Linked DNA regions of Astyanax mexicanus. The protein of the gene in region 1 purifies or fractionates together with the protein of each later gene. This does not show direct contact. Links are inferred from orthologs where the notes say so. Each region holds a gene or a part of one and is shown in the gene's direction. Other genes may lie near its edges.

Region 1 (8,053 bases):
CGCGGAGAGTGTTTTTCAAACAGATTAGTACTGCACATTCTGTTCTGTTTCACTTCCTGATGACTGGGTAGCCTTGTGTGAACTCACCCCACTGCCCATTAAACACAAATGTACCTACAAAACACACACACACACACACACTAAGAGTAATGTATAACCTACTACTGTTGAGTACTACTGATAGTCACCAGTCAGCTACCGATGAATGTTTAACGCATTTAAAAAACACACACAATAAAAGAAATAAATACAGGGCTACAACACAATGGCGTCAGATAAAAAATAAATAAAACTCGCCGTTATTCCAATTGCATTACCATACCTAATTTAAAAGGGTGTTGTTTAACGCACAGGGTGATGTGATCCAGCCCGCCGCCTCCTCTGTGTTTTAGTACTGGTGGGCTTGCTGTGGGGTATTTTGGTGGGATGTACACATTCTAGGACATTGGGTCCTACTGGCGGCTACACTGAGCGGCTATTGGCTAACACAATGGCTGGATGAGTAAACAGGAGGCTAAGCCACACAACAGATAAGCGAGGCAGGCTACCCTGAACTCCGCAATAAAAATGTCTTTTGTTCCGAAGCTCTAAAGCCTTACTCGCTCCGGCTGACGGCTCCGCCATGGACCAGCCGACTTACTTCCACGTTATGAGTAACAAGGACATTTTGTTCCCGGGTGGACTGTCGCTCCGGCAGATTTAGCTAGCTTGTGGTGTTTAGCGCTGGTGATGGAATCCTTTTCACACTCAGGGGGATTCAGGGGGTACAGACTAGCCCATATTCAAGCGTTGCACAATTTTACCCTGCTCCCGAAAACAGGACTAATTTTAACATTTCACCGCTAGACTGTTCTGTTCTGATAGATAGAAACTGTTCCGTTTGGGTTGTTTTTCTCTCTGATAACAGAACAAAAAAAATCACATATCCTCAGCTCCAGATTTGGGGACCCCGTGTTCTATACAGGTTTAACCATTCCCTTCCCGAGCACACCTGACAGTAGCTCAGCAAGGCTTTCATCATCTAAAATATAGTATGAATATTACATTTAATATTAATATTTATATTTTATTAAAAAAAAAAAAAAAAAAAAAAAAAAAAAAAAAATATATATATATATATATATATATATATATATATATATATATATATATATATATATATATATATATATAGTTTTGTTTTTGTGAACTGACCCCTTTTTCTGTTCGGTGTGTGTGTAAGTGTGTTTGTGGGCTATTATGAAATGGTTCTGGCAATAAATTATTTCAAGTGACAGAAAACAGTGGAAAAGCAGTGACAGCGACAGAACCCACAGACATTTACTTTATTTATTTCTTAAACGTATCATGAGGGATTCTGAGGTCGTGTTCTTGCATAGAGGAAATTAACTACCATGAGTACAACATGTACCACATGTTCCTCCCCCGCTTTTTACGTTTTTATCATTGCTATTCTGGGAAAGTTGATTCACGTTTATGTTTAAAAACACAAGCCACAAGGCTGTTTTTTCTGTCTTTTACAACCTTTAAAACCTTTTATTTCAGTTTGGATTTTTCATCTACTGTACTTCTGACCCCAACGTAAAGTGATTAAATTAGTTTAAAAGTGAAACGCTTTATAGAAAAATTTAACTAGGCTTTAATTGCTTAGTACAAGTTCATGACAAGAAAATACAGGTAGCATCCAGACTTGCAAACAGGGAATACACACACACACACACACACACACACACACATATATATATATATATATATATATATATATATATATATATATATATATATATATATATATATATATATATATATATATGAAAGATGATCCTTATCTGTCTGTATACACAGCAAAACTGAAGTCACTGTATTGTAGACAGATGGATATGCATGTAAACCACATGCATGCAGGTACTGAGATTAATAACAAAAAATAGAGCAATGCTTTTACAGGAAGCTTATGCTTATTTTTTATATTTGTTTATATAAAGTATTTATGTTTTAAGTATTTTTATGTGTTAAGTATTATTTTGTTCACATTTGTTTTAACATCATGAAGTAATGACATATTGTTACTTATTTTTGTAGCATGATGTACTACATGTAGAACTACAAAGTGTCAGTAATTAAGGGCAGAAATACAATTTTTATTTTATTAGGACACTCTCAGACACTGTCTACGAAAAGGTGAAGAGTTAAATGGGCTTTTAGATCCTAGAAAATGTGTTTGGAATGCAGTCAGGTGTCTCATTATAATTAGGTGTCTCATAAGTTAGTGCTACTGGAATTCTCAGCAGTCAACTGAAATGTACAGTATGTCATCATCCAAACAGATGGTCGTATTTGTAGGTGGTGCAGTTGCTGTATAGCCTGCTGTCAATTTTAAATATTGAGTCACATCCTGAAAACTAAACTGCTGTCATAGATTCCTTTAAATACTTCAAAGTCAGAGAAAAATAAACATAAAAATAATATTACACTATGATTTAACATAATAACAGAATAGTAGCTTTCCACAATCAGTTCCTCTCCAATTTGTTGTAGAAAGAATCATATTATAATTAAATTAAAGAAAATAAACATTAATTATAGAGGATCATTTTGTGTAAATAAAGATGATGTAAGACAGTGACCTTTACTTAAAAGTTCAAGTCAAAGAATAGCACCTGTGTAGGCCATGTTTTACACTGGGTGTGGTGTACTTTGCCTGACAGTGAAGACACCTCACTGTTCCTCATTACAATGTTTGACTCCTTTTATGAAACTGGCTGTAAGTCTTGCTCAATAACCACCATGTTCTCTTACACAGCACTGTTTTTCATGGTAAACAATCAATCAGTTAAAATCTTGGCAACAAACATGGATCTGATTAGCATGTTTAATAAAATTGACAATTGAGAAGAAAATCATTCTGAATGTTACCAGGTTAATTTGTTTTTAAAACACACACAGCAGGAGTCGGGCAAATGCTGATCTTTGGCCTCACTTGCACAGTCCTGGCAGGGTAATGTGCTGTTCTGAACCTGTGTCCTTGAATGGCTCTGAGTGTTCTTTGTTTAGTTCTTGTGTCATCCTTAATGAGCATTTTGCACACTAAGCCTTGTTAAACTGCCAACTGCGTGCTTAGGCATCAAGACTAGTCTGCATTTGATGCTGTTATCCTCAGTGATGATACGGTGCCTGCAGAAGCAAAGTGTACAGTTTCTGGCAACCTGACACTCGAAAACATGAGGCTCTGTCAAAGTGATACATTGGCATACAATATACCTTTTTATTTTCAGTGTATGAAGAAAAACAAGCTGATTCCAGACCATTCATTATATATTGGATTTGGGTTCATTTTTTATCACTGTCACGAACTTAGTAATTATTGCTTAGACTTTTTTTCACCACAATTAATATAACAGTGAGTCTTGATCTCTTGCAGGACAGTATGACTAAGAAGATCTTAAGGCAGACAGGCTTTGGATTTGAGGGTTATCAGCTGGAGGGGGAAACGTCATGTCTCCTGCTGCACTATGAGAGAACAAACATGTTGCAAATACAGGTATAACTGTGTGTTATTTAAGTTATTATAGTCAAATCAATAGCTATATAGCGGAGGAAGAGTAGTTTTATGCTTTGATAACATGAAATATGTTTACTTATTGAGCTCTGAAAAATAAATAAATGTACTTGCTCAACAGAATTAGTGGAGATTTGCAGATGGTATTTTTGTTTAGTCTAGTTGGCATGTACCAACCTATTTTGATCTACAGTGAAAATTTCACAATAGGCCTATTCACAGAAATCTGATTATTTTCTTGCAGGCCATTCCTGTTGGCACTATACACTCTGCTGCTTTTCCTTTCTTTGAGGCGAACACGAGCACTACGCTGAGGAACACAGGTGTGAGTCTTTTTACAGTCTTCTTATGTTGCCCAGCCACTCATATATATTTAATTTAACAAAGCGAAAAAGAGGCCAGACTGAGAAAGGTGTAAGGTTTAAAGAAAGAAAAACAACAACAAATAAACAAAATTATCAATAAATAAATAATAAAAAATATGTTTTTGAAAGACATAAAAAAAGCCTTTTACTAATACTATTACTGCTAGAAATTAAACTTTATCTGGCTATCTGGACTAAGCACAATGCTCGCGGTGTGTCCGTAGCGCACAGCAGGCTGCGTGAACACGCTGTTCCCTGCGGGAGTCGGCGCGTAACGGGTTACGGGTCAGGGTGTCTGAGCTAGGACACTGTGTTCTCATCACAGCGAGCTACAGTACAGCCGGAACACTGTGTTACTTTTGTGGTGGTGGAGAGTTTACAGGACCTGCCTCTCGGATTTTCGGCCACGCCCACATGTCTCGTCGCCCCTCCCCTTCCCCAGTCTACTCCATGTGGCTCTCCTGAGCGCTGTTGTGTTTTACACCCCACCCATATTCCGACAGGCCACGCCCACATTTGCTGGGATTGGTCAGTAGTCCATGCTAATAGAGGCACACACACACTGAGACACAGCTTCTAGAAGAAATGCGTGATTATTTATGTATTTTAAAGCTTAATCCTGCCAAAAAAGGGGATCAGCGTGTGCAGTCCGTCTTCTTTATTACACTGTGTTCCATTAAAGCATGAGCAGGAGTCTGGAATGGGGCACAAAGGGAGTATCGCACTTAATTTACTTAGTAAAAAGGAATGCAATGGTTGCAAAGAATAAAAAGATACATAAAAAAGAACGTGGACTGGAATAATAATAATGTGAAAAAAACACCGGCCAGTAATTTGGCCCGTTAGTGGACCGCTCGAGCGTGTGAAATACTGACCAATCCAGGCGCCGGGGGGCGTGGCTTCTCGGAATACGGGTGAGGTTAAGGTGAAAAAAAAAAAGACCCACGGCGAAACGTGCCGGTGGAACATTGAGTACTCTCGCGCCGGGAGGGCGGCGTCAGAGCAGCAGCACGCGCATCGCCGTTAAAGCGCTCGCGCTACATGTTGCACTCGTCGCCGGTAAGACTCAGCCAAAGTTACATGCGGATACACACGGAGAGACACATGAAAGGACCCGGGTACAAAAGAGAAATACTGTGAGTATTTTCCTTAATTTCATCATCCTTTAGCTGCTTCCACCACACCATCCCATCAGCTGATCATGTAAACACACAAGCTGGACTGAACTGTAATGGATAAAACGTTAGAACCATTAAATAAAAATCATATCATCATTATAAAATAAAAAGTAAAACAAAATATTACTAGTTGGTACACTTAACTGTTCTCTTTATTTAAACATAACCTATATCCATCTGTAGATGTAAACATATTAAGGCCAAAATGTATATATATATATATATATATATATATATATATATATATATATATATATATATATATATATATATATATATATATACACAGTACTAAATATCAGTCTTTTAGTTAAAATGATCTTTTATCTATCTACTTACTGCAAGAAATTCCAACATGTTATGTATATTATTGAAAATGCATTGTCATTTATGTCATCTGCTAACTTTTCAAAACAAAGAACAATTTAAACCCAACTTATGCACATAATTTTTTATGTATGACATAATTTAAAAACATGCACGAAGCTCATACATGTCCTGCTTTAAGCTGCACATACATGTACAGTTTGAGAGACTGAGGGAGACTGAGGCATCTTCTTAAACACTGATGAGAGGGAGAGAGAGAAAGAGAGTTCAAAACAACTCAGTAAACCCGTCTCTCTCTCTCTGTACAGAGGCTTATGTGGAGACACACTCTCTCACCCAGTGTCCCCATCATTAAAACTAAAGTGTTGCCTACTGTCTGGACCAAGCATTTAATTATAAGCTGTAATGTTAGAAGGATTCTGTAAATACGAGAGGCCAGATACTTTACTATGAACAAAGACTGAAATGTTACTGTTTAGCCTTGGCTTATCTGTCTTCCCAATGAAGGCCAACATTCAAGGATTTCTTTCTTAGACTTATGCAAGTGTGTGCGTATGATAATTTCCCCACTTTTTGCATGCAGGACATACCTGTTCATTTGGAACATTTTGTACAAAGCGGAGAGTAAAGTGACATCAGTGGAATGCTGTGTTTGACACGTAACAAATTGAGCCTTTTGTTTGAAGGCATATAAAGAAGAGTGATGTGTATGAAAATGGAGTGGAATGGAGAGAAGAGATCCACATGTGTGAAGAACATATGTGTCATTTTGTGTGTATCGGTGTGTATGAGGTTAAGCTGTTTTGCTGTTAAGCTGTTGTGTCTTGGTGTAGATGATGTGTTTGAGGACGAAATGAGTCAACAGCCATGTGTCTTCATCTTTGTTCGAGGAGCGTATGCTGAGAGTGAACCACACGAGTGAGAGCTGAGGTCTAATTCAATTATCTAATGAAGAATCATGTAAAGATGCAATGACCTGTATAAGACTTGCTCATGTAGGTTAACACAGATTTCCAGAAAGTAATTGGTAATTGTGCTTACAGCAGTGAGAGAAGCTATTAGGTGTGAGGAATATATATTGAAAAAATAGCCATTAGGTATATGTATATGAGAAAATGTAACCTCTAATGATATACTCTGTTATATAATACATATATTACTTAATTTATATATATTTAATTAGAATATATTGCAAATATTTAATCATTTTTTCCCAGGACCAGATACTGTAGACCTGAATTCAGCTCCTTAAATGTTAATACTGCTAATCCATTCACAGAGCAAATATTTAAATTTATATACTACATAAAAAGACAGAAGTCAATGCTAAGACTGATATTTTTTCTTTGCATATTCGCTAATCAATCACCACCACACACACTAAAAGCTATTTAAAAAAAAAAAAAAAAAAAAAAAAACCAATGCTCACTGGTTATGCAAGACCATGTGATTTTTTAATTGATGAGTGTTAATTGAAGATTTATCAGCTTAAATTTTAGGTACATAATTGAGAAGCTAACATATAATGCTGTATTCAAAATCATCATGCGTCACGTCCAGAGAGCACAGTGGCCACGTCTGAGTTAAAGCTCAGTACTTTCATATGAGTGTGTATCTTCATTTCCATGTGGTTTGAATTGTATTTTGCTGTCATTGTTATCAGTTAAACATATGTATGAATGGGGTGTTTCCACATATATCATGGTACATGTTTTTGCTTTATTTCCTCTATGTGTGTGTGCATGCGTGTGCGTCTGTGTGTGCGGATAAACATTAAGTTCTTTTGAGCAAGAGCCTTGAGTCATAGTGTGTATCTTGCAGGACTGGACTGAATGTTCTCTTCTCTGATGTGTTTTTGTTCCTACATCTCTCTGGTCAGTCCCTAGACGTAATACTCACGAGACACTCATCTTCACTCAATCTGCGGATTTAAACCGTTCAACCTAATTAGCCCCCAAACAGCATCGTGGATGGACATAATTACAGCACCAATTACGCTGCTGGCTTTTGTTTGAGTTGATAGATCATTTTAGGGCAGTGACCAGTGATCATCACTGTCCAATAAAAAACAAATATCTCTAATTTAGTTGATTTTTAGTTTACTACATCATTTAAACACACTAATCTTTTCACTGCGTCAAAATTTCTTGATGAATAGACCAATATTAATGATCCAAAGTTGCATGAAATTAACTCTTTTTGCATTGACTTCCATTGAAATTTAATAAACTGTAAAGTTGCTGTTTTAGAGATAGAGATTGTTTTTCAGTGGACAGCGACAAGATAGTCTTGGGAAATAGAAATCTGAGATCAGAGATGTCTCATGGTTTGGTGGTGTAATAGGTTAACCTCTCTCTTCTGATCGAACCTACTAGGTTGAAATGTTTCTGTGTTGCTTTACCACTCAGAAAACTCACAGCCTGAAGATAAGATCTTGTTTTACCGGAGCATGAAGAGATAAGGTTATACAGATGTATTGATGAAATCTCTGATAAAATCATTTTATGTTGAGATTTAAATAAAATAAGTGTTTTTTTAGAGTTGTTTAGGAAGGCAGTGAAATGTGCTCAAAGATCTGATCCAAATACTTAAATGATTATTGTCTTTGATGAGAAATGCTTCTA
Region 2 (8,224 bases), on another chromosome or scaffold:
GAAAAAAGGCACAAAATGTTGTATTGCTTCAACGGCCCTAAAGAAATATTTGTTAACTACATTAAAATCACAAAAATTGTTCAAAATAAATAGATTTTAATAAGACAGGGTGAATGCGAATGCGAAAGGAACCAAAAGTTCAGAGAGCAGAAGCTTGAGGACCTCGGACCGCCTTGTGTGTGATTGGTCCAAAGAAATGCTAGAAGCCAATCAGGTTTGACTGCCACAGCATTCACAGCGTCATAATTCATTTGCATAAAGTTGAAAAACATTTATCGCTTGTCGCCTCTTGTTTGTCACGGCGACAAATCGCGCCCTGCCATAGGAAATGAATGGTCACCTGTTGTGTTGTTGTTTCCAGTGTGAACGCAGAGTGAGCTACCCATATGTTAACATGTGACAGTGTGGGATGAAAACCCAATGGTGGCACCTTGCCAAGTCCAGGTATCGAACCCCAGCTCTTTAACCATTGACACCACCTATGTGCCCATAAGCAAAGCACCTGACTCCTGTGGCTGTGGAGGTGGTTGCCCATCATTCCGTGTGTGTGTGCTCCCACTACCCAGATTCACTAATGTAAGAGTGTGTGTTCAAGGCCATGGTTTCAATATCTGTAAAATGTGTTTTCAAATCCAGCTGATTTAAATGCTTAATCCAAACTTTAATGTTTCTCAAGCCTGGCTTGGGGCCCATTTAAAGGTTACATCTTTGCTTATGTGTAAATATGTGGAACTGGCTGGTGGGCCCCAAGAACTGATGGTTAAGAATCACTGCTTTTGTAACAATCTTTGTAACAACCTTCTGCTTTATTCCTTATTTCTAAACCCACCTAGTTCTCTCACACCGCCATACATTCACACAAAGCAATCATAGTTTCCCAATGGTAGAACAAACTACCTTTTAATGCCAGAAGAGGAGAATTTCTTGCTTTAAGAATCTTTAAGAAACTCCTGAAAACAGAGCTCTTCAAAGAGCACCTACTCTCCTAAAACCCCCAACAAGCTAACTACCTCTAATCTCATTTCCTTATTCGCTTTCCTGTTCTTTTATACTTTATATTTTATTGATTTTTTATATGTATTGTTTTATCTTATCCTTCTCTTGTAACTTGTGTACTATGTATACCTGCTGCTGGATGTCCAAAGTTTCCCCTCAGGCATCAATAAAGTATCTATCTATCTATCTATCTATCTATCTATCTATCTATCTATCTATCTATCTATCTATCTATCTATCTATCTATCTGTCTGTCTGTCTGTCTGTCCGTCCGTCCGTCCGTCCGTCCGTCCGTCCGTCCGTCCGTCCGTCCGTCCGTCCGTCCTTCCGTCCGTCCGTCTGTCTATCTGTCTGTCTGGACTTCTATGTCCTCTATTGCTAAATGTACATCACTATTGCAAGTCACTTTGGACAAAAGAGTCTGCCAAACATAATGTAATGTAATGTTATGTAATATAAACAATGTTACTGTGTATTCAGCTCATATTCTCTTGAACAGAGTTAGGTATGTAGGTAAGAAGCACTCAGGTTTAAACCTAACCATCCTAAAAGCAGGTTTGTACCGACTTCAGTTAAAAAAAGATATAAAAGCCAGACTCTGAGGAAACTGCGCAATACTGTCTGTACAGTGCAATTCAGTGGTTGGGGGAATGTGCAATACAATGTCTAACATAGATCCGGTTGGAGGTTTTTTATTTATGGGTTTCAGTTGTTAGCACTATAATACAAAATATATGTATGTATTCACAGTATCTATTTACTATATATGTTATACACATAATATACTGTATTTGGATATGTTGTCTATACTATACTATATATGTTGATTTGTTTTATTATTAAACTCAATCTTGGTCATCTGAAGCGACCCAATACATACAATATAATATAATGACAGTTTTGTCATCCTTTTTGATTGGACTTAGCAGCAAAAACAGTTTGATTTTCTCTTTAATTGTATCAAAAGACATTCTACATTTACCTATAATACAACATTTCTTAATCTGCACTTGTCTGTTGCATGTTGCAATGTAAATGTTTTTAGAAATACTGAATTACGAAATGGAGTTTGTTTTGTGGCTGCTTGTTGATTTCAGTTTTATATTCAGTGTGTTTTGTATTTTCCTCTACTGCCATCTACAAGTTAAAGTACTGTATTTATTAAAATCTAAAAAGGGGAATTATAACACACATACACACACAGAGCTGCAGCTGCTGTGTGACACAGCTGTTGTGTGCATGAATCATTGGGAGGCTGTCACACTGCGAATTCACAGCAATTCCGTTTTTCCTGTCTAACACATCACACCTGCACCACTTTCAGAGAAATTCGAATAGAGAGAAAAGGGAGGCTACATAATTTTCTCACACTTGAAATATTTCTCTGGACAATGAAAAAATATTTTAAGAACAAAATGTTTTTCATGAGTGCCGATGAATGTATATAGAAAAAACGATTTAGTTCTGTTCATTGTGCTAAAATTGACTCATTTTCTATCATTTTCTTCCAGAAATTATTTTTTTTTACCTTATTTAGCTCAGACAAGTTTATGCTAAGGACTGAAATGATTGACTGCATTGGCTAAAACAGACCATTTGCAGGACTGTACTATTCATTACATGCATTAGCTGAGTTGTAGCATTCGGCTTGTTAATTGTTCAGACACTCTGTCTACTCTGTAATCTGTTGTTATTTGTATAAAATGGCCATAGTGACTTAATTAGTTGTTAGCCTTACACCTAATATTACTGTTAATGGTAATGTTACTGTTACTGTTAATATTAATGTTGCATATGCTTGATGTCTGCCTCATGTATCCTGCATTCGTTTGTTCGTTTGGTGTTTTGTTCATACAGGTTAGACAGGATAGAAAGTTTTGAGGAGCAGCTGTATAATGTGTTATTGCCTCCGCACCGCAACAAATATGCTCATCTGAACAGCTGGCCAGAGATCAGCATTGTTTTGAAAAGCTGATGTCAAAACATGTACATTGAAAAAAGTGATTTTTCGGCTTGTTCCAGCTACTGCGCTTGCACAGATCTCCACATTGAGGAGAACTTTCCCATTAAAACACTGGCCCTCCTTTGATCAGCAAGCTGATTAGCTCTTTTTGTTGAAGGGTAGGGCTTCATCCATCAACAGATACCACGATAAGCATTACGAGAAATCTACCAGTGGCCGGTCACCTCATTAATACAATCTCTGTTAGCATCAGAAATATAAAGGGTTTAATGGCCACTCTTTATAATAGCCATTCTTTGCAGATTAACATATCTTATACATAAATATATCAGCATGCAATATATATATATATAAAAAGCCCTGAATAGAATATATTCCTGGAAGACAGATAAAAGGGTGGTTTCCTTTTGACTTATTCACCTCTTGTTTACTAGAAGGCCAAATATACACACTCTGGGTGTTAAGATGCTGCTTACAGGAAATGTTTGGCAATACAAGCTTGTGCTTAAAAGTACATACCGAGTTTATTATTATTATTAAGAAACCTTAACTGCAGTTTTGTAACAAAGCATCAGCCTGATGATTTTGGTGCAGCGGAATGATCTGATGAAGTTAAAACTAAATATCACTGTAGTTTGAATTTGTAAAGTTACACACTTACAAAACCTAACAAAAAATAGCAGGCTCTCAAATTACATTTCTCATACTATGTACATATGAACTCAAAACTTAGATACTTTTTCACATGTAGGTTTGGATTTTATTCTCCCTTATTAATAATAAAAACCTTTAATTTAAAAACTGCATTTTCTGTTTACTTGTGTTGTCTTTGAATAATATTTCAATTTGTTTAATGATCTGAAACATTTAAGAGTGACAAACATGCCAAAAAATATCATGAGGGGGCAACAAATATTTTACACCATTGTATACAGTATTTATAGATTCAAAAAAGCAAACTAAAATCTTACCCACTACCACAGTTTCAAGTGCTGTGCTGTGATCTATTTATGGATGAAGCAGGTTCTTAAGAAGTTACAAGATGGTCCAAAGAGGCCATTGTTTGTAATTGGTGATTTTGGCTGTTTATATAAAAACTAGTAATAGTAGTACAGATCTTACTAAAGAGTTTAGTGAAATATATTTTATTCCCAATTTGGAAGGCCAATTACACAATCCATGTTCATGTAAACTCCCCTATCACAAGCAATGCCCCCAGCACTAGGAGAGTGAAGACTATCACATGCCTCCTCTGACACATGTAAAGTCAGACACAGCCTCTGTCTGGACTTCATTGATGGAGCATTACTGGGTAACCAGCAGCTCCCCAGATCTAATACATCTGCCAACAGCTGTCTGTGCTGATGAAAATTACAACTGAAGTGACGTGGTGAAAGAGTGCCACCTACCAACCCTCAAGAGCAATTCCAATTGTGTAAAATTGAATTGAATTGAATTGAATTAAATGATCTAGGATACGAACTGAAAAGCCCTTGATCAGACAACAACGGTAAGTACAATATAACCCCCCTTTTCTTTGTGACTGCCATCATTACTTTAATAAAAGTACTGTATATGCAACTGTTATCACAAATTCAGTGTCACGTCATGTGTGCTATACTGTATTTTTTCTCATTGTTCCTTAATGAGTTAAAGCAGGTGTATGCTGTTACTAAACCAACCGCAACCAAATGTGGCTTTTTAGTGCACTTTGAATGGGATGACAGGAATCACTTTTATGTAACAACTATTTCTGATAACACAAAGTTATCATAATTCCTAAAATATATGACAGCCATATATTATCTACTATGACATAAGAATACGGCTTAAGAATTTAGCTGATGCTACTGTAACTGGACCTATTATGCAGAAATTGTTATTTTGAAGTTTTATTATTATTATTATACGGATAATAAATACGGAGACATAGAAGAGTTTAAGTGGGCGCCTTGAAGTGGGCGGGTCTATTTAGTGGGTGTGTCGATGTGGGCGTGTCTAATGAGCAGAGCGTGCCCTGATTGGGCGTGGCTTGTTGTGGATAGATCAGGTTGTACTGCTGACCTGATATCGGTTCTGTTAGCAATGGGCGATGTGTAAAGAGCGGGATTTGCGTTAGGAGACTGATCTCTGATCAGCTCAAACGGCAACTCGGTAGTCTGCAGCGCGCCTGCGCACTAAGCTTGTTTCGATTTCGAGTGCTAGCGCTAGCCAGTTTGTTAGCTGTATGTGAGGCGCTGGTCTACAGCGTTTGTTCCTTTAGTCGTTGAAGAAATCTCGATTTTAAGCTTTGTGTTGTAGCGTAGTGCTGTTTAGCGGCTGTTATCTGGGCCGGTTTTGGTGTTTCAGGGAGAAGTGCTGGTGTGAGGCTGACTTTTCTGAGCTAGCTCCGCTGCTAGCTGCGGTTACCTAATTGACTGCTGCATTACCCCAAGTTGTTTACGTGTAGCTGGCTAACGCTAACGCGGCTAGCTGGCTCGCTGTTTACCAAGTAACGTTAATAGCAGTAACGTTGCGTTTTAACGGGGCTTCGCAAGGATGACATGGATGTCGCCGTTATTCTCTACGAACTGACATATTCCATTATCTTCACATCTGGCACATTATCTTCACATCACAAATTACAGGCTACTTTCAAGCTAGCCACACAGATTGGTGAATCAGACCAGACCGGGCAGCGGTAAGATAACTTGGCTAGCTAAGCTAGTTAGCTAGCTAACGTTAGCGCTTGTTGGTTAGCTATAAGTGATAATGAAGTGTCAGGCTTAGCGTTAACTAACTAATTAGCTAAGTGAAATAAATATTACTCCACAAGTTAACCAGTTAATTTATTAATTCGCTGTTTATAGCACTTGACTAAATACAAAACATACAAGTGTGTTGAGCTGTCGCTCAGGCTGTTAGTTAGCTAACTAGCGAGGTAACCTAGGTTAAATCACTAACACTAGGTAACTTAGCTAACTAGATACTAACTACATACAGCTCTCGAAAAAACAACAGACAACTTAAAAATGAGGAGTTTCTTTAATTTCACCAAATTGAAAACCTCTGGAATATAATCAAGAGGAAGATGAATGATCACAAGCCATTAAACCAAGCTGAACTGCTTGAATTTTTGCACCAGGAATGGCATAAAGTTATCCAAAAGCAGTGTGTAAGACTGGTGGAGGAGAACATGCCAAGATGCATGAAAACTGTGATTAAAAACTAGGGTTATTCCACCAAATATTGATTTCTAAACTCTTAAAACTTTATTAATATGAACTTGTTTTCTTTGCATTTTTGTAGGTCTGAAAGCTCTGCATATTTTTGTTATTTCAGCCATTTCTCATTTTCTGCAAATAAATGCTCTAAATGACATTTTTATTTGGAATTTGGAAGAAATGTTGTCCGTAGTTTAAAACAGAAATTAAATGTTTACATTTTACTCAAATATACCTATAAATAGCAAAATCAGATAAACTGATTCAGAAATTGAAGTGAAACATGCCGGAAAATAATATTGCGACGTTTTAGGGTATTTTTCCGGTAGTGATATTCTTGGCATGATGAAAAACAGTAATATTTTGTTAAATAATATTGCAAGAAATCACTTCTGCAACAAAATATTGGAATCCTTTAAGTTTTATTTCATGAAAGTGTAGTTATTATCTTTAAGCATATAGCAGAAACAAAACAAATCTGTAAACTTATTTTGTCTATTTAGTAAACAGTAGCTTAGCTAACTTGCCTAACTTGACTTTTTTTGTACTGAATCATTTTAAGTGCAAGCATATAAATCTAAAAAATAATCTTTAGGCTTCACAGCAAATAAAAGGCACAATATTACTCTGTCACATATAATGCATTACCACCCTTTGAATGGCAATGACGTTTTAATTATCAGTACTATTGATTAGAACAGGAACATACATAGTGTTTATATAACATACATTTAGGCTCAACAATTATACATGCTATATTCCGTAAACATATTGAGGTTATGTTCATATGCATGTCTACATATTGTGCAATTAGATAATGCAATTATTATGACAGGCCTAAGTAACAAGTGTTTTTCCCTTTAGATGGACAAACCACCTTTCAAACAGACTCAAGTATGTGGACCCTGGGCTATGAAGGAGAGGCTAGGAACCGGAGGATTTGGTCATGTGTATCTTTACCAACATCAGGTAAAGCAAATTTGTTTTTTGGCCGCTTAGGGTTGTAGGTGGGGAAAGTCTGCACCAAGTACCTACCTAATAGACCAAGTGAAGAGCTTTGGAAGTAGTGGGTGATTAGAATATTTTGAAGGGAATGTCTGAATCATCTATAATGTAGCTACATTATGTTTATGTTGTTGAGTTAATGATATTTATTTCATGTAGGAAACCGCTGAGAAAATTGCAGTGAAACTCTGCCGGCTTGAGCTCAACGCAAAAAACAAAGACAGATGGAGTCGAGAGATTCAGATCATGAAAAAGTAAGTTTATAAGGAATTTGATTACTTATTTGCTTTCTAAATTGAATATATTTCTTATGCAAAGTTTAATATTTGGTTAACTCTTTCTAGATTGAACCACATCAATGTGGTGACAGCACGGGATGTACCTGAAGAGATGAAACACATTGCCTTGAATGACTTACCTCTATTAGCCATGGAGTACTGTTCCAGAGGAGATCTTCGTAAGGTGTGCTCAAGCATTAGCTTATTTTAATTGCCCTGTCTGTCATGTCATGTAATTGTCACCTGCTTTGAAGAAGACTTTCCTTTTTCCATTCTTCTTTATTTCCTCATACCATTCTTTTTTTTTTTTTGTAGTTGTTGAGCAAACCTGAAAATTGCTGTGGGTTAAAAGAAAGTGAGGTGCTGTCCCTTCTTAATGATGTCGGTAATGTATCACCTCTATGATAATATCCTTATGTATTTGCTTCCATTTCTACTCAGATGTGTCAAAAATACTGTTATTGAAAATGTTTTTTTATATTAACAGGTTCAGGAATTCAGTATCTCCATGCAAACAAAATCATTCACAGAGACTTAAAACCAGAGAACATTGTGCTTCAAGAGATTAATGGAAAGGTATGTGATATTTTATATGTGAAAAAAACTACAGTTTGAAATGAGTAGTTTGCTAACTTGTATAATTTGTTTGTCTTGTTTTAGTTAGTACACAAGATTATAGATCTGGGCTATGCAAAAGATTTGGATCAAGGTAGCCTTTGCACATCTTTTGTGGGAACTCTTCAGTATTTGGTGAGTCTTGTGACTAATTATTGTGAAAT
Region 3 (7,775 bases), on another chromosome or scaffold:
AGAGCTCTACTGTACTAAAGTGTATTAAAGTGCCCTGAAACTGATGCGTAGTATTATTGTCCAAATTAAGAGGCCTTCAGAAGCCTGGACTGGGTGTTTGTAAAAATGATATAAATGGATTATTATTATTATTATTATTATTTATTATTATTATTATTTTATTAATTCTTGTAGAGGTTGACCTGAATGATCCCAGCACTAAAGGTGAACCATATGACTTCAGAATCGTCAAGTGGCTTATTAAAGAGAAGGTACGTGTATACATCACATTGACATGTAACATATTACAACCTTTGAACCAAAGATACCTACAGTTGTTTAATGAAATGTATAAGGTTGTGTTGTATATGTGCCCTCAGGGTTTGGCCACCATCCCTGTATCTGGATTCTACAGCCAAGAACACAGTGGTGACTTCCAGAAGTACATTAGGTTCTGCTTTGTCAAGGTAATTTGATTCATTTTAGGTAAAGAAGTAATAGGAATAGCATTGTTTAAATAAGTGCCTGGAGCCAGACCACAACTGGTCAAGCTCTCTCTCTCTCTCTCTCCTCGTTTCTTCGATTGTGATGCTGGCTGGTGTCTGTTAGCTAATATATATTATAGATGGGGGTCTGGTGCATTGCTCTAAGAGCACTGGTTACCTAGTAATGCTGCAGATAAAAAATATACTGTGGCTGACTTCATATGTATTTGAGAAGGCATGTGCTGATCCTCATCCTCCTAGTGTTGGGAGCTTTGCTAGTGATGGAGTTCCACTGAGTGAGTTGGTCAGTTGGCTCAACTGAAGTACTGAAGTCAGTCTCTGCAAAGAAAGGTTGATCTTGGACTTTACTGACCTCCGATATTCAACCGCTAGTCGCAGTTCATTTTTTATCTTTTTGTCTGTTTATGCCAAATTAAATTATAAGGGTATCATTAAAATGTATCACCATTAAAATGTGATAACACTGACAAACACTGAAACATTTTTTAGAAGAACAGATATATCTTGTGCATTTTACACTGATGTAATGGGATCTCTTCAAAGATGGCAATAAGAGCAGGCATATTTTGGTATATTGAAACATTGTAAAGGCATGGTTTTAGATTTGTAATTCTATTTCTAATTCTAATTTTCTTTTCCTAAAATAGGAGGACTCAACACTGAAGGCAGCAGAAGATATACTGAAACAGTGGAGAATCAAACAGTGAGTGCTGGCCACTTTTGAAGACATTAGATGATTATTTAAAGCCGTCCAATATGAGCTTCACACAGCAGACCTCAATAGTTGGACAATATAATTAGCCAAGGACGCCTGGTTCAGTATAGTTCTATAGAAAAGTGTTTATTTAGAAAATGTTATATTTTAATATTTGACAAAATTGTTTAATAAAAGCTGGATTTTAGTATTTTTTTATTCATCTTGTTTGAATGAATACAAACTTAAATAGAACCCGTAACAGAAATTTGGGAAGTGAAACTTTTGAATCATCTGAGGTAGAAATACGTATCATAATGATTCATGTGATTTGCTATATTTCAAAATGTTTGTAAAAAAAAAGTTATGCTGAACAGAATGTAGTCAGCAGTATTTGCTGAGATGCAGCTTATCTAAAACTGTTCTAGTGAGTAAGTGAATCATGCATTCATACAGGGAGGAGTTAATTTTACATGTGGTGATTTTACATGTTTGGCCAACAGAGGGAGCTAGTTGCTTCCATCAAAAAGAAACATTACAGTTAATTAACATTTTAATAGAGTTGTATTGTGTACTAAACAACAACACAGTCTTATGTACATTTGTCAGTTTTGATCAAGGTATCTTTTGTTTTGTTTTTCACAAAAATATATGTTTTTGCTTAATTCTCAGGATTTGGTTGTAGTCAGCTGTTTAATATTAGTTAAACTACCTCAGCTCACAGCAGCCCATCCAGCAACTTTCCACACTAAACAACAGTAGTCTGATTGCTTATGCTGTATGCATTGGGTTGTATTCATTAAAACTACTTCAGGTTGACTGTAGTGTTGCACAAGTGTGAATGAAAAATGCACTCCTTTAGAGAAATCAACTTCTTATTGCTCATACAGATTATTTGTGAGTCTATACAATAGACACACTGTTTTTATTGATTATGATGTACAAATAGATGTCTGTTTGTCTGTTGAGTTTACTTTCCATCCTGTTTGTTTTAATGCCATTTTGGTGTGTGCAAGTTGTACTGGAATTAGGTGGATCAGTGTAAAATAAAACATGTTTTGAAGTTGAATTTGTGTCTTCTCATTATATGTAGAATTCTATATTGAGTTTGAACAAAGTGCATTAATGTGGGATATCTCAAGTCTAACCTGAACTTGTGGAATTTAAAAACAAGCAGAATTTGTGGAATTTTACATAATTTCAGAAATGTAGTATTTTTAAATGAAGTTTAAATAAACATTCATATTTATCCAGATGACCCTACATTAGCTGACTGTTTGCAGCAGCTGTGATTGTCTGGGCAGTGTTAGGGGAGCTGAAAAAGAGCATTGTGATTGGCTCAGTTTATCAATATTCAATGTCCTATTACATCCTTCTTCTGGAGTAGGAGAGGAGGAGTAACAATAGTTTCTGAACGAAAGGAACTGCCTTCCTCAAATGCAATCAGCACATTAGTACTGCACATATTATCTATGCTAATGTTCACTGCAAAACCAGTATAGTTCCACACTTCAGAAATTAAAACCCAAAAGCAAAAACAAAGGACGTGAAATTGATTTATCTTAAACTAACCTACCCATTAATATATTTCTGGATTAGCTAGAAAACACCTATAATGACATACAGAATAAACAGTGAATACTGCCATGATGTTGCATCATCTTATGCTGCTTCAGATTCTTAAACTCCTTAAGTGGTTTCATTTGTTATTGGTCAATAGTGAACTAATCTATTTCTATGTTTGCTTACATATTGATGCACAATTCAAGTCATTAAGATCCTGTGCTTTAAAAGTGTGTATTATGTGCTAATAAAACATGTCGGCTAACTGTAATTATCTGTGTTGAGGTTTAATCTTAACATGTTTCCATATGAGATAATAATTTAGCACAAATCTAAAAATATGCTTTGGACACATTTTAAGAACCATTAAAATCTGAGTTTCAAAAATTAGAAAAACATTGTTTCTTGTGTGTGTAAATACACAAGAAACAATGGTATATAGTAAATTAATGTAAAATCCACTTTTTCTTGTTGTTTGTGAAATATAATAGGTCTCTCTGAGTTGTATATGCAGGCTGCATATGAACTGTTCTTTAACCTCCATTTTTGCAGTAGCTAAGAAAAGAAAATACTCAGAAAAATTGTTGTTTAAGAAAAGCATCTGTTTCCACATCAACTTGTGAAATAGTATTCATAGCCTCACCAGCTAGTTCGCGTTTAAATTGTAGGTTTAAATTGGCTCTCCGGTGGATTCCTCGTTTTACAGAGACCTTAAATAAACACTAGGGAAGCACGGTTTGACAAGGTAGCACAACTCGACAGAACACAGGTCAAATCACCCGATTTTATGATATAGAGCAGACTCTATGGGGCTTCAACGTGGTGAAATTGCCTAAGCACCGAATCACCAAGTCTGAGGTAAGAGTTTACTAGTGTTGGTTTAGCTGAAAGAAATGTCACCAATGCCGCGGGGGGCTCTGAGAGTCTGACATTAAGGAAAGTGTAAGGGTTAACTCTACCTAGCACTCATTTTGTCCTTCGAGTTTTAGAGCTCTAAAATTGACTGTTGGGGGAAGGCAGGAAGAGTTCTCTGCTGCAGTGCTGTTAGCCCATCAAAGGCTATATGTTTGCATGTATGAATATTCATGGACAAGAGTTGTGAGGACAGCTAAAAGAATCATCAGTCTCTCTCCCCTCCATCACCGACATCTACACTGCGCTGCATCCGCAAAGCCACCAGCATTGTGGACGATCCACCCATCCCTCACACGGACTCTTTGCTCTGATGTCGTCTGGCAGAAGATACATGAGCATCCAAGCCTCCACTACCAGACTCTGCAACAGCTTTATCCACCAGGCAGTCAGACTCCTCAACTCACAGAGATCACAGAGATCAACCTCCTCCCCACACACCCAACACATTCACACAGAACTGATCTGACACCCCCCTCCCCCCACACCACTGCTTTTCACATACACATAAAGATTGTACTGAACCGACCCATCATTCTACACAAACACACACACACACACTCTATGTTGTCTATTGTATTGTTGTTTGATCTTGCACCATTGTCCCGGAGGAACGTAATTTCATAACAAAAGCCTCTTAACTTAACTTGAAGAGCAGAAATCATGTCCTTCTTTAGAGACCACTAATACTTTTTTTTTTTTTTTACAAAAAAAGGGCTCACATGGCATTCATTCATACTAGAGACCACAACTAGACAGTTTTAAATTGTCCATGGTTTGGGACAAGGCTTATGAATCAGAGTCTCTTAACATGACTTGAAGAGCAGAAATCCTGTCCTTCTTCAGAGACCACTAATCCAGTGAAATAAAGCAGGGTTATACAGAAACACTGAAGCACTTCAGCATTCATTCATACTCGACATTTGAATGAAAAACGATGGAATAAGACCTGGAATTAGAAAAGTTTTTGGACGCAGCCATAGTTTTTGGCACACGCTTATGACTCAGAGTCGACTCCGAGTCGAATCTTGAATCGAGCAGTCTTGAATCCCGTGGCTGCAGTGCGCCCCCTACAGTCTGAGTAGTTCACTGTGGGCGGAGCTCTGTACTCAGACCGGCTCCGCTGTAGCTCGGCAGTAGTTGGGTAGTTCAGTAGTATCGCTGCTGCTTTCCGCTGTGATCGTGTCCGTCCCTCCGCCGCGCAGATCCGCACCGCCGCTGCCCAGCCCCGCCGCCTCGGCTCGGTCGGGCTAACGTGGGGAAGATGGCGACTGACAAGCCCAAGCATGAAGGCAGGGTGAAAATCGGTCATTACATTCTCGGAGACACGCTGGGAGTGGGAACATTCGGGAAAGTTAAAGGTAAATCTTGTGTATTTTTAGCTGAAATCCGCGTCCGGAGGATGATGATTATCACTCAGTGAGTGAGTGAGTGAGTGGGGGCTTCAGGTAGCTAAGGAAACTAACCCACCCGTTAGCCGCGTTAGTTAACCGCTAGCATAGCAACACTAGCTAAGCTAGGCTAGCTAACGTTAACTGACGTTTGCAGCTTTTCAGAAGCGAATTAAGTCTCCCTGGCCGTCAACACTACGCGCATTAAGTAGTTTGAAGCGAGGTTTAGCGCTGTTTATATGCTGTATGTTGATTATTCTGCTGTTTCGGGTCCGTACGCTGGTTGTTTATATTAGCTAACGATAACTAGCTGGCTAGCTGGCACTAGCTTTATCTGTTAGCGAGCCCGCTGGTTTTAACGGGAGCTAGGTTAGCTAGGCTAAGCAGACTTGGTTCCCGGTCAGTTTAACGTTTAGCAGATTAATTTTCTGACCGTATCAAACTAAATTCGAAATTAGAAAATTATACTAAGAAAATATAAATAAAATTCGAAAATTGGGTATAAACCGTAGTCATACATTTTTTTCACTCAGTATAGTAAAGAAGAAATCCAAATGATTAATTCTGTAGTTTCACTTCAGCCTTTGCCTTTCACGAAAAATTAAAAGGTAAGTCTGACCGTTTGAAGCTAAATGCAAAAATGGAAAAGTGGATGTAAAAACTCATTATTTATTTTTTATGTAGTTTATTGTACAAGAAATAAGTTTTCATCCATTTTTCCAAATAATTTCTTTATGTCTGCCCCCCCACAAAATCGAGAGAAGGTTTACCTTTTCATTTTTCTTGCAATTCTGATTGCGAAAGGCTAAAATGAAAAACTAGATAATTAACAGTTTGGAGGAAAACCAATTTTTTCTTCACTCTGTTGAATGAAAAAAAAATGTTTGATTAAGTTTTATACCCAATTCTCTATTGTCAGAAAATTCAACTGCTAAACGTTGCTTTATGATCAGTGTAACTATATTATTGAAATAATTTGAGTCATCTACACTAAGTAGCTTAACTATTGCAACCAGAAGGAAAATTATATCATTAAAAATATAAGGGTGTTAAAAGCCTTATACATTGAGTACATAAGCGTGTCCAGAGGTGTATTTGTACAGCAACTGCAGTGAATGAGTCGGGGTCTTGTTTATTCAACACAGGCTGACATCATTATGTACTTTTTGTTCTCTAAGCATTAATATATATTAGGAATCCCCAAAGGATCACATTTCTAGCATCTTTTCTATCAGCTTTGATATAAGGTGCAACATGCCTTCTACGTGTTCTAACTTTAAAAGAAGTCCTGCTCCTTATTTCAGTGCTAAACAACTTACTAAGTGAAGCATAGGTTCAGGTTTAGATAGTAGGATTTAATATCTGCATGTTAGAATTATGTATTGCATATTGTGAAAATGTTTTTAAGTATTATGATTGAATATTTTTACCTTACTTGTGGTCACTAATTATGATTTTAAATGTTTGTGGTTGAGAGTAATTCATTTAATGAGGGTAGAATGATTTTAGTATTGGAAGTTTGATGGATTTTTTTTTCTGAGGGTCTCTCAATTGCTCTCTTTTGTGTAAACTGTAGTTAGTGATTAAATCCAGGCATCTGAACTCATCCAATCAGTGTGAAATGCAAGGGTGGTGGATTATGCCACACACTCACCATTAAATGACTAGACTTACTGTCTCCAACTTTTAAACTTAGCAGTAATACATGTTTATCTTTTTCTTTTCTCTAAGCGTTGCTCTTGTACCTACTTCAGCCTGTATAAACCACTAGTTTAGTTGCAAGTCTTCTATTGTTCTGTGTATGCGCTGGTGTTGTATGTTTTAATTTGTATCCAAGACTACCTTTTTGTTTATCTGCTGATGACAGCTGCTGCCTAGACTAGGTGCATTAAGTAAGTGCATTAGTAATTATTATTTACTTATTTTAAAAACAAAATAATGGTAAATAATATTAAGTAAGTACTGTGCACCCCTTTCAAATTCATTAAATTTTTCTGTTTTAATTTTTTAAATCCAGAATGTTAATATTAGTATTGAAGACTGTCAAAACTATGAAGAAACATGAATAGAAATATGTACTAAACAAAGAAAGTGTTAAACATTCAATGATATGTTTTAAATATTTCTTCAGAGATGCACCATATTCTTTGATGACAGTTATGCCAACTCTGGGTTTTCTCTCTGTTCACCTCATGAGGTTGAACCTCAATTATTTGTCCAACAGTTTTGAAGAAGTTTTCAGAGGTCCTGAGCACTTACTTGTTGGCTGCTCTTCTTTCACGTCTTTCTGTTCAACTAATTCCAAACCATCTTTGAGTTAAAAATGGGAAATTGTTGAGGCCAAATGCTTTTTCATTTACTGCTTAATTTCATGTGTTCATAACAAAGAAACATTACATGAGATTACGAGTAATGTATGAAGGCTGTAACTTAGCTAGGCTATGGTAATTTACTTTTTCATAAATATAGGAGCTTCTTCATGAAGAATCCTCTACAACTAACGAATTACACAATATTATCACTGTTCTATTGGCAATCTGTTTAATTTTGCAGACAAAGACACTTTTTACCCCTATTGTAGTTATTCTTTAGATTAAATAGTTAATAGAGAATTAAATAGATGTTAAATAACAGAGTTATATGAACCATTAGTTAATGAAAACTCAGAGTTTGTGCTATGTAGGCTTGTGTTTTTAACCCAGATGGTTGCTCACAGCATGCTTTGCTGTT
Region 4 (7,807 bases), on another chromosome or scaffold:
TTGTACAGTACTATAAAGACAAGGGGTGGGCAATTAATTTAACTAAATGGCAGCTTGACACTGGGACTATTTTTAGGGCTGGGTCAACTGATTGATCTCAATTTGCCTCAATGTTAATAATCCAGTAATTATATGGATTTCATTAAATGTTATTGGTAAGATATTACTCTTAGTAAAAACATAAATTACATAATTATTTAATCACCATTTACATAAACAACTATGAATAAAATGTCCATGTTTTTCATAAAAAAACAACAACATTAAACTCAAAGCATTATTCCTCTATTTGATTTGTAGCCTAATTTCTTTTTCAGTACTTTTTCTTGTTATGTAAAAGAAATGTATTCAACAAGTGCAGTGAAGTAGGTTCTGTTTCTAAGGTGGATATGTGAATGGCCAGATGTGGCCCCAGGGCCATAAAATCCTTTTTCACTTTAGCCACAATAGCTAAACCCAGATAGCAAAATTACATTAAATAATTCCCTTATTTCTCCATCTCAAATGTTGATCTCCAACATCAGGGTTGATTTATTTATGCACATCAATTTTCATTTGATTTAACATTGATTCAACATTGAGCGTAGTGATGAAAAAGGTGTTTAAATAAAAATCATATTTTTTTATAATAATAATAATAATTTATAAATAAGGTGTCTTTTTGAATTGAAGAATTTTGAAGATGCTTTGCACTAAGACTTTGAAATATTTGTCTACTTATAATACTTATAATATAATACTTAACTACTAATTGAAAACAAAATCATGGACTCTGTAAAAATAAAACAAAAGACTCTGTATCTAATGTTTAACAAATTGTTTTGACAAATAAGGTCCTAAAGTTAATAAATCCTAAAATAAATATATTATGGCCTCGATAAAAAATAACAAAACCTTTAGTCGATTTATTATTATTATTATTATTATTATTATTATTATTATTATTATTATTATTATTATTATTATTATTATTATTTCTGATGTGTTTATTTATTTATTTACTGTAAGGAATATAGGCTGTTCTTAAAGCACTGCTGTATATCAGCCTAGCAACAGCACGCCTCATCCAATCACAGCGCGCCTTCCGCAGTGGGGCGCGTTTTGATTGGCTCCCTGCTGCCACGAAGCGACAGCCCTCTCAACGCACGGATGATGAATCCTCGCGCCGCTTAGATTCAACCAGACCACTGAATTAAAACAAATATTAAATTTAGAGATAGTGGAATATATAATTTAATTAAACTCAGCACACAGAGTAATGTATGTGATCAGAAAGTCGAAAAGCACATATAATAAGGGTTTAAACTGATGGATAGATTTACTCAACATTAAAATAAATTATAATAAAAATATATAGTAATATATGTGTGTTTGTGTGTGTGTGTGTGTGTGTGTTACATTGTACACATTGTACATCAACATACAATCCAATATTAACAGTAAAACACATAGTGATAATAAAAGGTCTATAAGAGTGGTATGGGAGATTTTCAAGGCAACAAACACTGCTGACCTAAAAGTATTTTATTTGCCAAAAACATCTTTATGATCTCCAGGACTTTGGAAGAATATTCTGTTGACTGATGAGAGAAAAGTGGAACTTTTTGGAAGGCGTGAGTCTTGTTACATCTGACAAAAAATGCACTATTCCGGAAAAGAACAAGAACACCATATTTAAAGTCATACACTGTGGTTGTTGCTGCCAAGGGTGGCACAACCAAGTTATCAGGTTTAGGAAGCAAATATATAAATATATATGTACGCATATATACAGCTATGAAGAAAATCAAGAGTCCTCTTTAGTTTATGAATCAGTTTATCTGATTTTGCTATTTATATGCATATATTTGATTAACATGAACATTGTTGTTTTATTCTATAAACTACAGACAACATTTCTCCCAAATTCCAAATGAAAAATATTGTCATTTAGAGCAATTAATTGCAGAAAATTAGAGATGGCTGAAAAAAAAACAAAAAAGATGCAGAGCTTTTAGACCTCAAATAATGCAAAGAAAACAAGTTCATATTCATAAAGTTTTAAGAGTTCAGAAATCAATATTTGACAGAATAACCCTGTTTTTTAATCACAATTTTAATGCGTGTGTGTGTGTGTGTGTGTGTAAACAGTCACTTTTCGTCTGGAATAAATAAATCTCTATGTATCTCTATCAATCTTTTTTTAAATAATGTTTATATAAATCGCTCTCTCTCTCTCTGAGCTGAGACTAATACAGTCAGTGTCTCTTCATCAGATGAGCTGATTTTTTTTATGTCTCGATCTGACAATAAAAATGTCACCTCTGATTCTGCTGTTGTCCAGATACACGTGCATTCTAATCACAGAAAGTATAATTACCACTGAAGCAGCTGACTGGTGCTTGGCCACGGTTTGTGTGACTTTATGGAAATGGACTGCGCCCTGCATCTATTATTAAGGCCAATGCAACAGCCAACCAGCACCATAACAATGGGTCACAGCAACCAGATGAAAATTTATTAGTAACAACCAAGCAACACCTTAAAAACAATTAAAAATGTCCTGACAACCGCTTATCAACACACTGACAGCTGCATAAAACATCATAGCAGATCATAACTGCTATAACAATACTTCAAGCTGCATAGTAACTCTGAGGCAACCATCATGAAACCATCCTAGAAACTACTTAACAAATGCTAAACAACAGCTGGAGTAGCAACCAAAAAATACACCTTTGTAACCTCAAAGCAATATCCTAGGACCCATGTATACAGGAACTAAAATATTATATTCTACTAACAATTTAGCAAGAATGAAACAACTGCCTAAAAACACCATAGCAACAATCAAAAAATGCCATAGCAATCACATAGCAACTACCTGTTTTAAATTAACCAGCAATGTTGATGTCAATCGAAATTTCTGCTTATAAATTAAGATTATGTTTTGACTCACAGTGATGCTACTTAATTGTTTAACTCAACTTCAACCTGTATTACATACTGCATACAAAAGAAAACTTCTTTAACTTTCTTTTTGTATGTTTCTTGTTTTTTTTTGTTTTTTTTTTTTTGTCTTAAGAATGATTGTAAACAATCCATAGTCCTAACAAGCTAATTAAGGTCTTGGTAAAAGTTATCTGAAAGCTTTTTTTTTGCATTTATTTTTTATTGAAATTTTTACTACATTATTTTTCATTTTAAACTTTATTCCTTTTGAAAATCATCTTATATTCACTTGCAACATTCCCCTGTAACAGAACAAGGATGAGCAGGGGTGCCCAGACCTTTGAACGCCCCTCTTTTTGTTTGCTGTTAAAATTTTTAATTGTTTAATATATTTTGTTTAATTATTCATGATTATTTTTAATATCATTACAAATGAAAGATTATTACCAAAGAAGAAATGCTAAGAGAGCACACTCCTCTATTTCTTTGCTTTTAACCCTAAAGGAACTGATGCATCACTACAGGACTGTGTGTAAATGTGTGATCATGTGACATTATTTACAGAGGTGTGCTGGGTTACTGCTGGAGATAGTTCATTTTAAAGGTGTATGTTTTGCTATTGTATTCATCCATTTTAACAATTAATGTTTGAAACCCTATAAGACTAATTCTGAGAATTTCTAGAACAAAATGTTAAAATCCAAAAAGTTATGTCATTGCTTCATTTACATTAAATAATATATTTACAGGCAAGTGCCCATAATAAAAAAAACATTAATGAGTTGCTCACTTCTTCTTCTTCTTTTCGTTTCTTGAAGCTTGTTGGTTATATGATTGTTTCCCATTTCTTTACACAGTCTTTTGCGTTTTTATTGAATATGGCAAGATCTTTTAAGCTGCACTGATTGTGTAGTAGGGGCAAACAAGGCAGTGCTGCATTGTGTGGTCCTCTCCACATTCACAGGTGGTTTGGCCAACTTTGTAGTTGCTCACTGAATATATTTGATTACATTTTGAATTGGGCATCAGTATTTAGAAATTAGTCTGGGCCCTTATTGTTTTTTTTTGTAATATCTAAATTTAATATCTAATTAGATTTAGACCTAACCTAACATTCCAATAACTCAGTAATGTTAGGTTGCCTATCATTTGGATATGTATACACACTTACAACTACAGCATTACACTTTGCCATAAGTTTATATAAAACACAAGCCATTTCTGATGTTAAAAGTACATAATTGTGCAAAGATTAGCATAATAATTATAGTAGTAGTAGTAGTTGTTGTTGTAGTAGTATATTTTACAGTGATGCACTATATAATCACAAACCAAAATTATTTATCAAGAAAATTTTTTTGGCTAAAAAAATTTCTGAATTATGTTCAACAGCACTATACATAACTGCTATAATTTCTTTTTTATGTACTCACCTGTTACTAATTTTGCATTGTAATAATGATAATTAAAGAAAACAGCACTTTTGGTGTTTGGCCAACTAAGTGAAAAGATTTATGATGAACACTGATATTTTCTTTGCAACAAAAAACAAACAAACAAACAAACAAACGAACAAAAAAGTTTTATTATTTAAACCAAAACCCCTTAACTTCTATCACCTGCCTGAAATCGAAGTGGGCGTGGCTAGCGCCTCGGCCCAGCAGTGGGTGTATGTGGGTGGGCTGACCCCGCCCATTCAACCAGCGCTCCGCCCCTTTTACTTGCTTTATTCCACATTTAGGCTCCGCCCCCATGACAGGACCGGAAGCATCTCATTTTCACAATGAGTTCAAAGTGAGAAGGGGAGAAAAGTTCGAGAAAGCTGAAAAAGCGTAAAAATATTTGCGTTTTAATCGTTAACGCTAAAAATACCGAAGCGCGCACGCTTAACCGGGTTGGATGGAGCGCGCGGGGCGCGAGGACGCGCAGATGTGATGATTTGGGGTGGTTATTGGGTAATATTGGGGTGATTTGTGGTCAGTCTGGCTGGAGACAGCGTGCTAGTTTGCTTCGCAAACAATACGATGGTAAGAGCCTGAACTGTTTATTAATTCGATGTGTGATTCGGTTTGTTTGTAATTTTAGGAGATATTGTTGTTTTTTAACCAAATGTGTGTCTTGCAATTACGCAGCGTCCTTGGGAGTCTTTTAAAGTGTGTGAGCATGTGCTTGGTGATCAGATTAATTGATTAGTTTGATTATTGATTGGTGATCAGCTTTGGTAAGATCCCATTCTTACTAATTAACAAAGAGCCCTCCGAAGGCCACCACGTGTTGAGGAAGGAGCTGGTTAAGGCCAGTCAGTGCACCAATGGAAACACTAGGCCTTTCCATATCTTTTAAACAGAAATAATCATGAAAATATATGTGATATAAACTCATCTGTGTGTTACCTGAATATTTATTAAATGATAAAACGTGTTTCTTATTAATATACAACTTTAAAGAGCTAAAATAGCGCACAAAGCTACTCTTAACTTCGGACTGTCTGTTCCACCTTAAATGTGCAGCAGTTACATTCAAGCGCCATCGGGGCGTCTGATGTGCAGTGACGGCAACTGCTGTACGTTTAAGGTGGAACGGAGAATATAAGGCAAGAGCCAGTTATGTTTAATCAAGTTAGCAAAGTGATTTTAAGTCTTCTAAAAATCCTGTTCTTTGTACGTCATTATATAATCACCGCATAACAGCAAAATACAACTATGCCAGTGTTTTCTAAACAGTACAGAGCTTATATTTAATCAATAGACGAAAACAATGGAGAAAAACTGGTTAAATAAGTTAAAAACTTTAAAAAGAAAAACTGTAGTATAAGTTGGTAAAACATTTAAGAATTAACAGCTTAAATTTATAAGTTTTTTTTTAAATGTGTAAAAAAATAAATAAAATAAGCTAAAACTAGCTATAGATTAAAATAAGTAAAGCAAATAAGCAAAATAAGTAAAACAGTACTAAGTAGTAAAAGTAATGTAAAATAAAATGGTTACAGGCAGAGTAAAGGTAGTGTGTGCAAATGATCTACAATTACAAAATATACCCCACCACAGTCAATGTGTTTGTTTGTTGGGAAACAACATTAAATGTGATAAACAAACTGTGTTAATCTGTAAAAAGTGATTATGGGGAAGGTGTGTTTTTGTTTGTGTGTTTGTGGTGAACCTCAGGAATGTTAGGTTGCCTGTCACTTTGGAAATGTACACACACTTAGCATTTATTAAGCATTTCAGTATTACACTTGGCCTAAAGGTGTTTACATGCAACACAAGCCATTTCTGCTGTTATAAGTACATAATTATGCATAGTTTTGCATAATAATTATGGAATAAGTAGTATTATATTTTGCAGTGATGCACTATATACTCTCAAACCACTAAATTATTTGGCAACCAAATTTTTGTGGCCAGAAAGTGTCAAAGATGTTCAACAGCACAATGCATATCTGCTATAATTTCTTTTTGTACTCACTTGTGTCTAATTTTGCATAGTAATAAAAGTGATTATTGTTTTTAGGCATTCGCCGAAATTGTTTGGATGTAATTAACAAAAACAGCACTTTGGTTGTTTGGCCAAATAAGTGAAAAGACCAAAGAATTGATGTTAAATAGTTGTATTTTCTTTGCAAAAAAACAGGTTATTAGGACAAATAATTTAGAAGTGAAACAAAATATCGAAAATACCAATAACTACATATATTGTCATTTTAGTTTGCAATACATTATCATTAACCAGTGTCAAACATTGTTTTTATTAAAACGTCTCACAATTTGACTTAATGAAGTTACTTCTTCAGTACTCCACCTGATGGTCCTAATCAATATATTATATTATATTGTGAGATCCCATATGATTTGCTATTCAGCTTTCAGTCAAAGGTTTTAATTTTGGTTTAGGCCAAAAAATGTCATTTTGCATCCTTCATATCTTTTTATTTGTCAGTCTTACTGGTGTTTATAATGACCAAGAGAAATGTTCCAAATATCTGTTTCCATTATCTTTCCTTTTCTGTAGGCTTGAAGTCTATATTCAGAAGATATTATATTAAGTATTCAATGGATGAATTCAGGTTTACATAAATTGATTGATTTCTTATTAGCTCTTTAATCTCCTCATTCTGCAGGCTATGACCCAGGAGGGCGGGGTCCAGTATGAACCGGTGGCGGAGATCGGCGGTGGTGCATATGGGACTGTGTATAAGGCTCGGGATACACAGAGTGGTCAGTTTGTGGCCCTGAAGAGTGTCCGTGTTCAGACTGACCAGGAGGGCCTCCCGCTGTCAACAGTTCGAGAAGTGGCCCTGCTGAAGAGACTGGAGCAGTTCGACCATCCAAATATTGTCAAGTATGTACTGTCTGATCCCATTTCGGATCAGAATGCTGCACTATGTAACTCTGCCTAACCTGAGTCATGTTGATGTAAAATCCTTTATTATTCCTCTACCACATCAGTCCACTGCTTCTACATCTCACAGCTTGTCCAGAAATGCACGTGTACAGCTGTCCACTATAGTGCAAACAGAGCCAGATTTATATTTACTGCAGTGATTATAATACTCACTTATATTTGCTTTATTTACTTAACGGTCACTGCTTACATCCTGTGCGTTCTTTGTTGAGCAACACATACTGTAAACTAGAGGAAACTTTAGAGTTAACAGATTTTGAGAACAACAGACATGGCGACGGTGAATGAGACAATTATAAAAAAAAAGGCAGCAGTCTAGGCAGCCATAAACAAGCGCACAAGATAAATGTGTATCAGTACGAACAGAGGTCTTAGTTTAACTATTGTGTGGAATTACTCTCCACACCTGTAGGGGGAACCCAGGAGCAAAAAGTACCAGCTCTCAGCTTCAGCTCGTGTAGGAAACCTTGATATT

What was found.
Region 2: the proteins of fkbp5 (region 1) and chuk purify together in Homo sapiens (co-immunoprecipitation; 4 studies listed by BioGRID and IntAct, with this or other methods). This does not show direct contact. The link is inferred for Astyanax mexicanus from reciprocal best matches to the Homo sapiens genes FKBP5 and CHUK.
Region 3: the proteins of fkbp5 (region 1) and prkaa1 purify together in Homo sapiens (affinity purification with mass spectrometry; 3 studies listed by BioGRID and IntAct, with this or other methods). This does not show direct contact. The link is inferred for Astyanax mexicanus from reciprocal best matches to the Homo sapiens genes FKBP5 and PRKAA1.
Region 4: the proteins of fkbp5 (region 1) and cdk4 purify together in Homo sapiens (affinity purification with mass spectrometry; 3 studies listed by BioGRID and IntAct, counting the BioPlex papers as one, with this or other methods). This does not show direct contact. The link is inferred for Astyanax mexicanus from reciprocal best matches to the Homo sapiens genes FKBP5 and CDK4.

Annotation. Positions count from the first base shown.
Region 1 is NC_064412.1:16,106,202-16,114,254, reverse strand, and holds the start of fkbp5 (peptidyl-prolyl cis-trans isomerase FKBP5), read left to right. Parts: upstream 1-4,871; 5' UTR 4,872-4,965; coding exon 4,966-5,060; intron 5,061-8,053. UniProt on the Homo sapiens protein: Immunophilin protein with PPIase and co-chaperone activities. Component of unligated steroid receptors heterocomplexes through interaction with heat-shock protein 90 (HSP90).
Region 2 is NC_064414.1:37,826,328-37,834,551, reverse strand, and holds the start of chuk (inhibitor of nuclear factor kappa-B kinase subunit alpha), read left to right. Parts: upstream 1-5,127; 5' UTR 5,128-5,639; intron 5,640-7,026; coding exon 7,027-7,131; intron 7,132-7,326; coding exon 7,327-7,421; intron 7,422-7,511; coding exon 7,512-7,629; intron 7,630-7,760; coding exon 7,761-7,830; intron 7,831-7,932; coding exon 7,933-8,021; intron 8,022-8,105; coding exon 8,106-8,195; intron 8,196-8,224.
Region 3 is NC_064408.1:16,914,352-16,922,126, forward strand, and holds the start of prkaa1 (5'-AMP-activated protein kinase catalytic subunit alpha-1), read left to right. Parts: upstream 1-4,769; 5' UTR 4,770-4,918; coding exon 4,919-5,015; intron 5,016-7,775. Other genes in the region: kyat1 (kynurenine--oxoglutarate transaminase 1), read left to right, coding at 175-251, 360-446, 1,133-1,192. UniProt on the Homo sapiens protein: Catalytic subunit of AMP-activated protein kinase (AMPK), an energy sensor protein kinase that plays a key role in regulating cellular energy metabolism.
Region 4 is NC_064431.1:16,098,026-16,105,832, reverse strand, and holds the start of cdk4 (cyclin-dependent kinase 4), read left to right. Parts: upstream 1-4,688; 5' UTR 4,689-4,955; coding exon 4,956-4,958; intron 4,959-7,048; coding exon 7,049-7,269; intron 7,270-7,807.